2 linked regions of the Alligator mississippiensis genome follow. The protein of the gene in region 2 purifies or fractionates together with the protein of the main gene of each other region. This does not show direct contact. Links are inferred from orthologs where the notes say so. Each region holds a gene or a part of one and is shown on either strand. Other genes may lie near its edges.

The links. Proteins that work in one complex are often made in the same cells at the same time.
Region 1: the proteins of SDHAF1 (region 2) and SDHB purify together in Homo sapiens (co-immunoprecipitation; 3 studies listed by BioGRID and IntAct, with this or other methods). This does not show direct contact. The link is inferred for Alligator mississippiensis from reciprocal best matches to the Homo sapiens genes SDHAF1 and SDHB.

The regions. Positions count from the first base shown.
Region 1 is NC_081836.1:3,543,804-3,551,366, forward strand, and holds the start of SDHB (succinate dehydrogenase [ubiquinone] iron-sulfur subunit, mitochondrial), read right to left. Parts: upstream 3,015-7,563; 5' UTR 2,985-3,014; coding exon 2,910-2,984; intron 1,065-2,909; coding exon 919-1,064; intron 1-918. UniProt on the Homo sapiens protein: Iron-sulfur protein (IP) subunit of the succinate dehydrogenase complex (mitochondrial respiratory chain complex II), responsible for transferring electrons from succinate to ubiquinone (coenzyme Q).
Region 2 is NC_081838.1:888,179-895,077, reverse strand, and holds SDHAF1 (succinate dehydrogenase assembly factor 1, mitochondrial), read left to right. Parts: upstream 1-4,783; 5' UTR 4,784-5,406; intron 5,407-5,822; 5' UTR 5,823-5,840; coding exon 5,841-6,092; 3' UTR 6,093-6,381; downstream 6,382-6,899. Other genes in the region: TBCB (tubulin-folding cofactor B), read left to right, coding at 12-203, 598-670, 2,201-2,318.

The DNA of each region.
Region 1 (7,563 bases), on a different chromosome or scaffold from region 2:
CCTGAAACTCCACCCAGAACTTAGAAGATATTGTTGACTACACAGCGCAATGTACTTTGCTCTCTCTATCAGCTGCTGCTTAATAAGCTACATTGTGCATTAGCTGGAAGTTTCAAAATGAGCTTGAGGTGGCTCCCTTCATAAACAGCACTGTGGCGATCAAGTCATGAAAAAAAATAAAGACATAGGGAACTGTACAAAGGTTTCCATATCTCAGAGGAAGGCTGTACCCTTCTTGCTAACTGCAGAGGGGAAAAAAGCTCTTGCTCATAGCTCAAAAAGTAGCAAAGAATTTACACAATATCTAGAGTTACGAATCGCATCATTAAGCAGCATAAGCATGCGTGCAGTCGTAGAAGGGACCAACATAGTTTCCACCATTTCCACAGAATCGCCTTCTCAATCTACGAGCCAAGTAGCACCTCCATTTAAGCGCACACATAACTACTGTGTCACGTCCCCAAGTCACACTACTCTTGAGCACACGCATGCCATTAACATACCTTGGGGACACCAGCTTACACACACTGAGAAATAAAGCTGCACTTTTAAATGTGCTGGGAGACATCCGAGCTGGAATCTGCATCCCTGACAATTCTGCCTGCACGTGAAAGGCCGGTGTAACCATCCAGTTAAGGAAACTCTACTTGATGGCTGTACTAAGGGTCGTTAAGCCTAAACACAAGATTTGGTTTCATCTATGCTGGCAAAACCACATTGCACTATTGAGGCACGATCATGCTACACTAATCACAGTGTTTTCCAAACAGCAGCTAGAGAAGGTCTAACTTAAGCCCACAGCCACTCTTACATGCTTTTTCACAGGTCCAAAACTGAGGGGCGACGTAACCTGCGCAGGTCAGCCTTCTGGCCGAGTGCAAGTGCCAAGCATGCGCAAGTTTCAAGGTGCATACTTACTTATTCAAGTCAATCTCATAGGTCTGCATGTGGGGCTTGTCCTCATACTTGTCCGGATCCCATCTGTAGATAGCAAATTTCTTGATCCGTGGCTCTGTCTGGAGAGCGGGAGCTGCGGCAGCTGCTGTCTGTGCCCCACGGCAGACCTGCACCCAAATCAGAGAACAGCCTCTCAGAGCTGGTCGGCAGCACCACCACCAGGACGCAGGCCCCATCCACATCCCAAGGAGGCGATGCAGCCGCCTCCGAACACTGCTGGACGGGTACTCGGACGCTCTCAGGGGCTGCACAGCAGATGTGCCTGTTGGTGTGTACTCAGCGCAGCTCCAAAGTCATCTTGAATCTGGGGCTGGTGACTGTGCACGGCTGGCATCAGTCTGGCACACAGATGGCATGCACACGCCTGGGCGTGCCAGACCAGGATGGAGGCCCTAGCCAGGATGACCCCACTAACTGTAAGGCTGTCTTCCTACCCCTCTTCTGCTCATGTCTCTGGGCAGCCTCCCCTGGCTGCCTGGATTCATCAGAGGGCCCGTGGGCGCTGGCTGGTGCACTTTGCTTCACATCCCCCCCTTTGCAGCACTTGTTATGAACCCCGCTCCCATCCCCGTCTTCACCTGCGCTGCCCCACGGCATCAGCGGATGCACAACGAGCGACCCCCCCTCTACTAACGGAGCACTTTCCTCGGCGGGCTCACACCCACAGCTCCGCATGCATCAAACCTTCATGGAGACGGCGCTGCCAAAGCAGCGCTCATCACCACAGAGAGGAGGATGTGGAGCAACGGCTTGACGCTGCAGCAAAACGCATTTAGTCTGGAGACTGGGACAAACTCCTTTGCTGGTAAACCGTGGCATGGACACCTGGGGAAGCTGCGCGCTCTCCACCACTGCAGAGGGGCAAGCAGAAGCTGGATGCATCCTCATCGGGGCCGATTTAGGCACCACAGCGCCTGTGCTCTGCTGGGGGGGGGGGGTTTCCCACACTTTGGCAGCAGGAAGGTGGGTGAGTAGCAGTGTCGGGGGGATTTAAGCCTCCCCCAGAGGTGCTGGCTGCAGCCTGGGGAGGGAGACCCGGAGGGTCCTGCCCGTCTGCTCGGGCTCGGCCCCACCTGCACTGGGGGCAGGAAGGGATCCCCCCCGTCAGACTAGCCCAGCCTTCCCCTACCGCGGGGGCACGGCCTCTGCCAGGGATTATCACAGCACATTAATATGATATCACATTAATGGTGTGTTATACCATATTAGTAGCACATTAATAGCACACGATGCCATATTAGTAGCACATTATACCATATTAGTAGCACATTAATAGACATTAATAGCACACGATGCCATATTAGTAGCACATTAATAGCACACGATGCCATATTAGTAGCACATTATACCATATTAGTAGCACATTAATAGACATTAATAGCACACGATGCCATATTAGTAGCACATTATACCATATTAGTAGCACATTAATAGACATTAATAGCACACGATGCCATATTAGTAGCACATTATACCATATTAGTAGCACGTTATGGTATAATGTGCTATTAATGTCTATTACTGATGGCACATGATACCATATTGATGGCACATTAATAGTACATGATACTATATGATGCATCATATATAATATTACTACATACTACATTCCTATCTATGTATATACACACGACTGCACTGAACGTATCTCTATAAATTATATTACATAACGATGCAATGCTAGTATATAGCAATGCACGGCACATAACATCATGAGATAGGTACTTATAGTATATATGACACGTATTATACGATATTATGTTACACTTACGCTATATTATACGCAGGACATTGCTATAAATCAACACAGCGTCATTATATAGATTAGCATATCCTATAATAATAATAATATATATAATTAATCATAATATAGCGGCTACTACGACGGATAGCGATGATGCAATCACGCTGCGGCCCGTCACACGCCAGGCGGGCGCAGCCCCCGCCCCCACCTGCAGCGCGGCCGCCCTCAGCACCGGCCCGGTAACGCGGCGCCTCAAGGAGACTCCGACCACGGCCGCCGCCATCTTGGATCCCGGCAAAGTCCGCCGCTATCCCACAAGGCCGCTGCGGCGGAAGCAGGAAGTCAGGGGGCTGCGTGAGAACCAATGGGAAGCCAGGGTGGGCGGGACTAAGGGCGCGGAGGCAGGACGGTTAGGCGAGGGAGAGGTGGAGCCAACGGGCCGACGCTGTGGAAAGGGGCCAAACAGGAGGAGCCAATGGGAGGCCAGGTAGGCGTGGCTTACATGGCGAGAGGCCATGTTGGGAGCGCGGTGGGGAGGAGGAGCATGGGGAGGGGTGTTGTCCTTGCTCTGCCTCAGTTTCCCCGTCCATCCTGAGGGAGGCCCGGCGTCTGTTTGCCGCCCTCAGCACCGGCGCCTCAAGGAGAGACTAGATAAATCGATCGAGCTGTATATATATATATATATATATATATATATATATATATATATATATGTGTATAATAGATGGATAGACCGATATAGCAGTGTTTCATTTTAATCATGGAAAAATGTGGATTTGGAATATGTGGAAATCATGGAAAATGTGGGTTTGGAGTTAAAAAAGTAACTGAAAACCGGGGTGTTTGTCCTAAACCAGAGGCAACCGGGGTCCCTGGCGATGGGTCTGACTCGGCGCGAGCTGTGGAGAGACGCAGAGGCCGGGCCGCCGCGTCCACACGTGCTGGCGGCGGAGTCGCGCGAAGTGGAGCACAGCGGGCCTTTCCCCAACACCGTGTCTGACAGACTAGCTCCGTCTGAGTTTGTGATTTAGTTAGTCTCGAAGGTGCTGTTTTCCCCCGCCTTCTACCTGGCTGCTAACTACCCGCCGCTGTCCTCCCCGGCATGCCGCAGCGCGGGAGCAAACGATCCCCCGGCTCCGTCGTGCGGTCCCGCGTGGAAAGATCGCCTGTTATCGAAAGCATTCGTTCCTGTGAAACCCCGGATGCGCTCCTTGCTCCCAGCAGCAGCAGCCGAGGGAGGTTTCCCCCCGAATCTCCCTCTCACGCTGCTTTCTCTCCCGGGTCTTTGAGCGGCAGAGTCCGTCTGACACTTGCCATTTTGACACGCGTTTATATTCCCATTCAGATCCCCGTGAGGTTCAATGTACGCCCGTCTGCGGTGCATATCCATCAATTTAGGATTGTCTTTAAAGTAGCAAATAGGAACTGTTGGGGGAAGTGACTGTCATCAACGTTTCGTGTCTCTCGCTTAGTGCCGTCTCGCGCAAACCTCACTCTTTTCTCTCTCGACCCGTTATTTCTAAGTTGTTTGTAACTGACTTAGGGACTCATCAGCACGGAGGAGGGGGAAACCTCATTTAAAACCAATACGTTCATTGTCGTTGGAGACAATCTCCGTGGGAACAGAATTGGCCCGTCTTGCCTTTTAGTCTGGATCCTTTTTAGTCTCTTGACTTCCTTTTGCCGTTCAAAGCATGATTTTTATAGCATTTGGGGACCGACCGTGATCCCTCTGTGGCCAGAATAGCAACTGCACAGTGCTTAGCTTGCAGTAAATTGGGTGTTCATTTGATCTATGGGTTTTGCACAGAAGTGAGCCAGAATTTGGGATGAAAGACTACAATGAGCAACTCAGGAAATAGAGGTGGCCAAAAGAGGAAGGGTGAGGTGCAGGTCCCCTCCCCAGTTTTTAAGAGGCTGGAGTTTCACCCAAAGGGGCTGTTTCTGATTCTTTCGTGACAAGCTGGGAGTGCTATGGGCTGGCCTGCAGGGCAGTACGGACCGCGGTGAACAGCTGGTGTCAGCACAGAGCGCAAGTTGAAGCCGTGCCGCACGCTTGCAGAGCATTTTGCTGCACTGTTTCCAGATGGGTGTTTGTAGCAAGTGGCTAAAAAGCAGAGCTCAGTTAAAGCACCTTGCAGGGGTGCTTGAGGGATGAGTTCAAGCCTTGCTTTGATCCTATCCCTAAGGCTGCTCCCCAGCTGCAAATGGGGACCCAGTTGTCTGGGAAGTCAAAGGTGGCTGGAGATCAAACTAGCCACACTAGGCTTGGGCACGCCGTTCCCTAAAACCAAGTTCTCAAGTGAACACCTCAACAGGGGAAAAAGTCCAATTTGTGTTGTAGTTGCTGAGAAAATTGAGCAAATCCTTTAGTGAATCCCAGAGTCTTTGCCACCTACTGGCCTTCTTACACCCCCCCCAGCAAGCTGCACGTATTCACACTGAGTGTGAATCAATTTTGCATCCAGCTTTCTTTTAAAGAGGGGTGTTTTGCTGGCACTGAAGTGAGCAAGTGGTCACGAATCCTTCTGCGCTGCTGCATTCATGGGAATAAAGGATCCACTAGATCCCAGCACGTTCCAGGGATCTGGTTTGTAAACGATTGATTAGCTGAGATGAAGTTCCTTACGCTCTAGTGATGCTCATGTAAGTCACGTACTGCATGCATACCGTAGGTCATTGCCCATCTATGATGTGGGAGGAGCAGCAGGGTGGGGAATCGCTCTGAACCTTTCCGACTCCCTCTGGCAACCCATTTCCACCCTGACCTGTAGCAGCCCATTGCTATTCCTGTCTTGGGACCCCCTACAGCTCTGACCTGCAGCCTTCCCTGCTATTTCGATCCTATGCCTCCCATGAGCTCGCCAGTCATGCTCAATTGTGCCAAAACGTATAGCTGTTTTATGCATTGGACAGTTGTCCACTGAGGACTTGGCTGAAACCACGTGATTGACTGGCACTTAGGAGCTGACCTCAAACAGCATTTGAACTGAGGCTTCCTGAGATGAGTACTGCTGCTTTGACCACAGAACAATTGATCATGCTGGTCGTACAATATGCCCTTTGTCCAGACAGGGAAGTTATTAGGATCTGGTCACTTTGGGGCAGTATTGAAGGAGCCTTGGGGCTAGCTGCTATATGGGGTGGGAACCTCTAATTTTAAACAGTCTTCCACAAATGTTGCCATTGCTGTGCACTCACTTGTCTTTTCTGATCCACTGCTGTCTCTAGGCAGCTGGGTTAGCAATTATACGTGAATGAAGAGAGGTGTGCTTCCATGTGCCCATGTGGGGATACCAGTAGACCAGGGCTCAGTGAAGCTGACTCCACCTGCTCCCTGGGGCAAGTCACTAAAGCTGTGATTCAGATTTCCCATCATAGGAGGATAATAATCCTTCCCATCTGTCTGCCCCTTGGGGTCCCTTATTAGGTGCATACAGAGCACCTAAGAGATTCGCCCATCTCAGTTAAGGCCTGTGGGTGCTATGGCAGTGCACACACATAATTTCTCATCTTCTTGGGACTCTATTGATTGCATGAAGTTAAACTTGATTTATACCACTGGGTAAAGGAAGAGAGAGAAACCAGGATGTGGTTTTGTGCCCTCAGTTTTGAAAGACTCTGGCTTTCTCTTTGGCTGAGAGAAGTCTTAGCAGCTGATCTCCCTCTGCACTCATTGCCGGTGGAAAATGTAATCATTGCTTTGTGAAAAAAAACGCGTATGCATAAGTCACTGCCACTTGTTAGGAATCACAGTGGGAATTTGACCTGGGCTCATTAAGTGGATGTTCTCATCTAATCAGCGCAGTCATTGCATCACAGGTCAGCTATGTATGTCTCCTGTTTGCTTTGGCTGAAGGGCGCTGAAAACATTTTGCACAAATTGACAAGCATAATTAGACCCTTCATTTGGGAGGAAGAATATGTGTGACAAACGGTTCTATCTTCCGAGATGGGGGAGAAGGGAAATAATGCAAGCCCCTTCTGGGCCTCTGTGGGGGGAGGGTATCGGGTGAGCCCCCGAGGTGAGAAGTCATCACCCCAAGCTGGGTTTGCATTTCACATATTTTAGGACACTTCAGCTGCTTCAAGTTAAAAGTGGTCAGGCACTCGAGCAGGATGGTAACCCTATCCCGCAGCACAACAAAGACAGGCGGGTTTGGAGCTGACCAGCTATGTGGTGCATCTCCAGACCATCTTCACTCCTAGCGGCTGGCAGGTTACCAACACACAAGGCCATACCATCAGGTGACCCTCCCTGGCAGTGTCCTGACTGAGGGTCTTGCACTCTGAAAGCCATTTGTTATCCTTTGAGCACCTTGGGACTAAATTTAATCTTGGCGCTGGGCATTGGTGGCATGATCATCTGTGACGACGCTGCCTTCCTGCGTGCCCCAGCTTTATGGGGGCTGGAGCCTTCCCTAGTTACACATCATCTAATCTGATACCCCCTGTTCTTCTAACTTGATATCCTTGCTGCATGCCTTGGGATTAGCCCTGTCTCTACTCTGGATGTCGACAATTCTTTGCACAGGCAAATAGTGCCTCTCACTTGAGGATCTCAAAGCACTTTCCTCCCCCTTTATGAACGATGGGGAAACTGAGGCACAGATAGATTTATTCACAATCATGGGGCAAATCTACAGCAAAGCTGGGAACAGAACTGCGCCAGCAGCAACTCTGGTTACTTGCACAATTTGGACCCCTTTCCTGGGGGTCTGGAGTCACAGGAAGCCTGCAGCCAGAGAAGAAGGAAAGGATCTCGGTATATCCTTTCCTGCTTGGTGCAGGTGGCTGGACCCGATTATCTTCCGATGTCCCTGCCGGCCTTATAGTCTGTGAATCTAGATCCAACAGTGCAG
Region 2 (6,899 bases):
TCGCTCCACAGACTCGGTGCGCTCCTTCCTCAAGCGCAGCAAGAAGGGCCGCTTCAACGAGGAGGAGGTGGCCCAGAAGGAAGCGGAGCAGGCGCAGAAGCTGGCCGAGGAGAAGGTCCTGGCCGAGGCCATCACGGTGGGCGCCCGCTGCGAGGTGCGCATGGCCGGGCAGCCCCTCAAGCGGGGGACGGTGATGTACGTGGGTGAGTGTCGCGCACCCCTGCTCTGGCTCCCAGACCCCGGTGTCTCTGGGGTGGGGGGAGGTTGTTGAGGGATTCCCCCCCGTCCCTGGGAAGTTCATGAACAGCCCCCAGCCCTGCTCTGCGTCCCACAGCTCTTTCCCCAACCCGCCGCCGTGTCCTGGGCAGAGTTCCTCTCCGGGTCCCGCTCCCCTCCCTCGGGCAACACTGCGCACTTCCTGGCCCGGTTCCTCCCTGCCCTCCAGGCACCCCCCAGCCCCAGGGGGACGTTTGTACCCCAGGCCACGAGCCGGCTGCGCCCACCTGCCCCTGCCCAGGTCCCCCGACAGCAAAGAGACCCGTCTGCTAGCGGGGATCGGGTGTGCTCTGACTCGCCGCCTCTCCCTCCTCGCCGCAGGCCTCACAGAGTTCAAGCCGGGCTACTGGATCGGCATCAAGTACGACGAACCCTTGGGGAAACACGATGGCAGGTAAGACGTCTGCTCCCCTCCCAGGCTTGGCTCTGGATCGGGGCCACGAAGGATTCCCGTGGCCCCAGCGGAGAGAGCCCTGCTGCTGCCGGGTCCCTGCCTGGATGCATCTGCCAGAAGAAGGCAGCTTTGGATCTCGGGGAAGCGTTTCTTCCCTGTCGGAGCAGAGAGGCCGTGGGAGAACGGCCCAGGGGAGCTGTGCACTCCCCATCGCTGGAGGGCTTCAAGGAGAGGCTGGGCAGGGCTGGGCTGATGCCTGTGCTCTGCGGTGGGGGCTGTGCTGGTCGCCCCCCCTTGCTGCTGAACGGGTCTAGCAGTAGTCAGCCCTGACATGACCCCCATCCCTTGCTGCGCTCAAGGGGGGGTAAATAGATGCTTCAGAGACGCCAGGCCAAGGCCGTGCCCCCGCTGCAGAGGAAGGCAACCCCCCCAGTTTGTACCAGTATGAGCAGGGGGGAAATCTCTCCCTGCCCCCAGTGCAGCGTGGGGCTGAGTCTGAGCACGGGGACAAGACCCTCCAGCCAGGACCCTGCAGGGTTGGTGCCAGAGGAGCATCAGCGCAGCCCTGCACCCAGCGCCTCTGGGGGAGGCTTCAAACCCCCTCCCCGCTGGACACTAGCAGAAATGGGGGCAGCCCGCACAGCCCAGAGCCCCCACAGCAGAGCGCAGGCACCGGCTCCCCCCGCCCAGGGGCTGCCCAGCCTCTCCTTGAGCCCCTCCAGCAATGGAGTCCACAGCTCCCCCGGGGTCTGTCCCGCTGCCTCCCTGCCCTGACGGCAAAGCGTCTCCCGAGATCCAGTCTCGCCCGACCTCGCTGCAACGTCAAGCCGTTGGCCCCGTCCCCGTCTGCACCCAGAGATAAGGCTCTCTTCCTCTCTCTCCAAGTGAAGGTTGAGAGGCGACCTTGTGGCTGCCTATAAGTTCATCCCGGGGGCACAGAAGGGAATTGGTGAGTATTTATTCACCAAGGCGCCCCCGGGGGTTACAAGAAACAATGGCCACAAGCTAGCAGACAGCAGATTTAGACTGGACATTAGGAAGAACTTCTTCACGGTCCGAGTGGCCAAGGTCTGGAACGGGCTCCCAAGGGAGGTGGTGCTCTCCCCTACCCTGGGGGTCTTCAAGAGGAGGTTAGATGAGTATCTAGCTGGGGTCATCTAGACCCAGCACTCTTTCCTGCTTATGCAGGGGGTCGGACTCAATGATCTATTGAGGTCCCTTCCGACCCTAACATCTGTGAATCTATGGCAGTCCTTCATGCGCTCGCAGATGGCTCTCAAATGCTGTCAGCAGTATCAGGCCTCCACAGAGCCAGGGCAGGAGCCTGGTGGGGCGCGGGTGGCTTGAAGCGGGCGCCTCCTGCCTCCAAGGAGAGCTGTGTGCGCCCAGATCGTGGGTTGGTTCTGTCCCGGGGCTCCTCAGGGCAGTGTGGACCCCCTGCCGCTGGGTCTCCGTGCTCGGCGCATGGGCCTCCCATCAAGCCCCTGACCCCAATGCCTCTCTGTCTTCTCCTTTTTTCCTCCCCCGCAGCGTGAACGGCCAGCGCTACTTCGAGTGCCAACCCAAGTACGGTGCCTTCGTGAAGCCGCAGCACATCACGGTGGGCGACTTCCCCGAGGAAGACTATGGCCTGGAGGACGAGATGTGAGGGCGGAAGGGGGTGGGGGGAGAGGCCGAGGCTGCCCCCCGCCCCTCCCCACCCGCCCTTTCACGGGGCCATCGCGGCGCCCCGAGCTGCTGGGCTCAGACCTGGGCGGCGAGGCGGAGCCGCGAGAAGCAGCTGCACTCCTGCTTGTATCCGTTTGTTCAGTGAAAGATGCCACTACTCTATTAATAATATTTATTATTTTGCCCCCCTTCCCCACCCGCCTAACACCGTGAGACTAATAAACCTGCCCAGATGTATCTGACCTGCCCACGGAGCAGCGGCCCGGGAAGTGCTTTTATGCCGCAGGTTCGGCTTGGGGAGGGGATCAGACCGAGAGCCGGGATGGCCCTGAGCCGGCCGGGGGTTTGGCAGAGGGTTGGAGCTTGGGCCATAGGTGTAGGACTCTCCTTGGCTCTCAGCAGCGCCAGGGTCCCTGGGCCAGCAAGAGGGTTGTAGCCTTCGGGGTTTGGGGTGGTGGCCGGCTCACCCCCCCCCCGTCCTGCTGTCTCGGCGCTGCTCTACCCGGGGAGGATCCAGTTGTGCCGCGGTGCGTTTGCAAGAGTCCCCCCTTCCCAAAGGGGAGAAGCGCCCCAGCTGATGCAAAAAACACCCAAATGCCCCAGGGACGGGCTGGGAACTCAAACAGGGCTGGATCCATCGTGGGGGTGTCTCTGCACCCCCCCCCCCCCCCCCCGGGGGGCAGCTACCATCCCCACCACAGTGCATAGCCTCGCGGGCACTGCAGCAGGGAGCCCGCAGCCATGAGTTAGGCCTTGCCTGGCATCGCTTTCCCAGGGCAGGCTGCCACGCTGCGTGGTTTCCCCGCAGGGATCTGGTCCCCTACTTTGGGGCGCCCCGGCAGGGCTGGGTCGTTCCAGCGCCGCGCGGCTGGGGTTGGGCTGCAGCGACAGGCCTCCCCTGGCTGGGTCAGCAGCAGCTCCATCACAGCTCCTGTGCGATGCGGCCCTGACACCACCCGGACGGGGAATTGATGACTTCTAGCTTCGCCACCCTGCTTCGCTTTGAATTGCCATCCAGACCAGACCAGACCAGACCCCCACACGGGTCCTTAGGCCAATAGCTTTAACCCCTGCTCATCTCCGTCTTGGCCCTTGACCAGTGGGACTTCGGGGCTCTTCCCCCTTTGGCATCTCAGGCCCTGCTGGGCTGTGTGTCCTGCCTGGCACCGGGCACAATTCATCACTACAACCCCACTGGGACCCCGCCGCCCCCTCGGGCAGGGGCGCTCCCCGCAGGTCAGGATAGTTGGTGGTGCCGGCTGTTAATTAATTGGTGGGCAATTAATACCGCCCAACACCCCACTGCCAGGTCAAGCCCCGTCCCCTCCAGCCCGCAGGGTCAAGCCCATCCATGGGCCAGGCTGTCTCCCACCTCCCTCCATGCGGCCAGAGGGGCCCTGCTGTGCCCACCCCGGGCACTGGAGTGGGACCACCAGCTGGATCTGGCCCACGGGCTAACGCCTCCGTAGCAGCACAGTACAGGGCCACCCGCCTCGCTGCACCAGGGCCAAAACCTCACTCGGGAAGTCTCCCACGGGGTGCCTACCACTGCCCTGCCTCCGGACGACACCCGTGAGCGTGGGGCAGCGCTGCCAGCGCTCGGGCACTGGTCTCCGGTCCGGCTCGGCGCAGCCGGGGGCACGGGCCCTGCAAGCCGTGGGCTGCTTGGCCCACGGGACTGTTTCTCGGTGCCTTTTTTCCACCCGAAGTCTCCCTGGTTCGCGGCGGGGGGAGTGGGGAGCACAGACAGCTTTGCTGGTTGAGCCGGGGGCAAAAGGCTTTTCTCCCTCCTCGGCAAGCCACAGCCCCACGCCCTCGCTGCTCGGCGAGGAGGGGCACGTGCGCGCGGGGCGGGGGTCAGGACGAAGCAGTCCGAGTGCACTCGGGCAAACGCTCGCAAGCGGAGTCTGCGCTGGCGGATGCCGCGACCCTGGACATCGCCTCTCCCTGCTCTTCGCTCCCAGCTCCTGGCTAGTGCCCGTTTTCACTCGTGGGCTAGATCAACCCCCGCGCAGCCCGCAGGGACAGCGCTCGCGGCTTTCGAGGTGCCCGCCGGGGACGAGCGCGCTGCCCCTGCCCCTGCCCCTGCCCCGGGAATGGCTTTGGCCAGGTCTCCAGCCAGGACCAACAAGAAAGGGGGGGGCCGGCTTGAGTCGAGCGGGAGCAGAGGGGCATTTCTGCACAGCCGCTGCCCCGAGACGACAGCATCGCTCCCCCTTCATTCCTGGCCCAGGCCCAGGGCCCCTACCAGGAAGGGGCAAGACGAGGGCTCGGAGGCCGCGCGGAGCAGCTGCGGGCGGGGACCCGGGCCTGCGCCCCGCCCGCCCGCCCGCCGCTCGCTTTCGCCCAGGGCAAGGCGAGCTGCTCCTGTCGTTCCTCGGCGAGGAGACGGAGGTCCGGCAGGGCTTTATGAGACTTCAGGTTGGAGGGGGCCGGGGGGGGGGGGGGGGTCGCATCTCGTCCAGCCCCGCTCCCAGCAGGCCCAGCCCCAGCCACATCATAGATTCATAGACGTTAGGGTGGGAAGGGACCTCAATAGATCATCGAGTCCGACCCCTGCATAGGCAGGAAAGAGTGCTGGGTCTAGATGACCCCAGCCACATGCCCATCTAACCTCCTCTTGAAGACCCCCAGGGTAGGGGATCCCAGCCACGGCTCTGTCGACCCCGGGCTTCAGCACCTCCCAGCATGGAGGTTTCCTCCCTGCAAAGCCTGTTCCAGCGCTTCACCCCCTCCAAGCCACCCCAGACCCTCGGCCCAAAACTACACGACAGAGCCCCGACCCTCGCCCGGGAAAGCTGCGGCTGGGGGTGCACCCAAGAGCCCCCAGGCCCTGCCCCCACTGCAGGGCACGGCAACCCGCCCCGTCCGGACCAGTCTGAGCAGGGGGGAAAGCCCTTCCTGCCCCAGTGCAGCGCGGGGCAAACCCCGGACCGCCCCGACCCCTGGCCGGAGCCACATGGCCGGGGTGGGCGGGGCCTTGGCCGCAGTGTATCCGCCGCAGCCAATGGGGAGCGAGGCCTGGGGAAGTCGGTGTCTCAACGTTCCAGGCCGGATCGGAAGCGGAGGTAGGACGGGGGGGGCGGGGGTTTGTGGGGTGGGGACGCGGGGGGGCCGGGCCGGGCACGGCACTAGAGCTGCACGTGTGCATGTTAAGACAGAAAAGCGGGTGCGGCTGTTTGCACCCACATGTGCAAAACGGCACACGGTGGTTTGCATGCATGTGAATGGGGGGGGTCTTGCAGCTGCTCACACACACGTGCAAACGGGGGTGGGGGTGCCCGGTTGCTTGTACATGCATGCGTAGAAGTGAGCGACACGATTGAAGAGGAGCCTGCACACTTGCCTGCACACGCATGTGCAAAAGCGGGGGGGCATGAAGTCTCATACATGCATAAAAAGGATCCCGTGTGCTTGCTGCACGTGTGTGTGCAAGGCCACGGGTTCCCGTGGCACTGATGCCCGCCCCTCTCGTCCCTGCCAGCGCCGCCCCTCGTGCCCCATGGCGCGGCACAGCCAGCTGCAGCGGGAGGTGCTGAGCCTGTACAAGCAGTGCCTGCGCGCCGCCCAGGGGAAGCCGGGCTTCGCGCCCCGCGTCCGCGAGGAGTTCCGGAGGAACGCCGCGCTGCCCGCCTCCGACGTCCTGCGCATCGAGCACCTGCTGCGCCGCGGGCAGCGCCAGCTGCAGCAGCTTCGGGACGCCCGCACCACCCAGCTGGGCGTCTTCCTGCCTCCCGGGCCGGAGCCGCGGTGACCCCGCGCACCGATGCAGCCGGGGTGATGCCGGGGGCTTGGACTTGGACTGGTCACGAGTGAAACCACGGCAGGTTCCTCTGAGCCGTTCCCCAGCGCGCTGGGGTGTGACCCCGTGGGCAGCACTGGCCAGAGCGGCTCCGTCCAGCAGGGAGCACGCGGACGCTGGGGTTGGGGTCTTGGGGCTGGGGACGCGGGGGGGTCGTGTCCTCCAAGTCCATCCTCGCAGGACAGGCGTGTTCCCGACTCGCACCCCCCTGCCTTCGTTTTATACAGTTCAAGTTCAATTATCTGGATTTCCACCCGTGTCTCTGATTTAACCGTCCCTTGGGCAGTGGAGCAGGGAAACTGAGGCATGACCTGTGCCCATTGCCCTATCCCTTGGCCCCCTTTTGGGCAGGGGTGCTCGACCTCTGGCCTGCGGGCCACGTCCAGCCCACGGGATAGAAATCGGGTCCCCCACGCCCTGCTACTGTATCTCCCAGCCCCACGTCTCCGTGTGCTGCATGCAGCCGGTCAGGAACAGCACCTGGTCCCAGGGCCCAATCCTGCTGTGGGAGGGGGCAGCGTTGCCCCCACCCCAAGCTCCAATCCCAGCATGCAGGGGGAGAACGGGGCTGGTGCCTGGTCCCTGGGCCCCGATCCTGGTGCACAGCGGGCTGGGAGGGGCAGCGTGAGTGAGAGAGCAGAGCAGCAGCTGGAGCTGCGGGCACAGGGCAGGGAACACAAAGCCAAGTGGCAGATGGGCCAGGGAGCAGGGTGAGAGTCTGGGGGCCCGGGGCAGGTAGATTGGACACCGGGCGGGAAG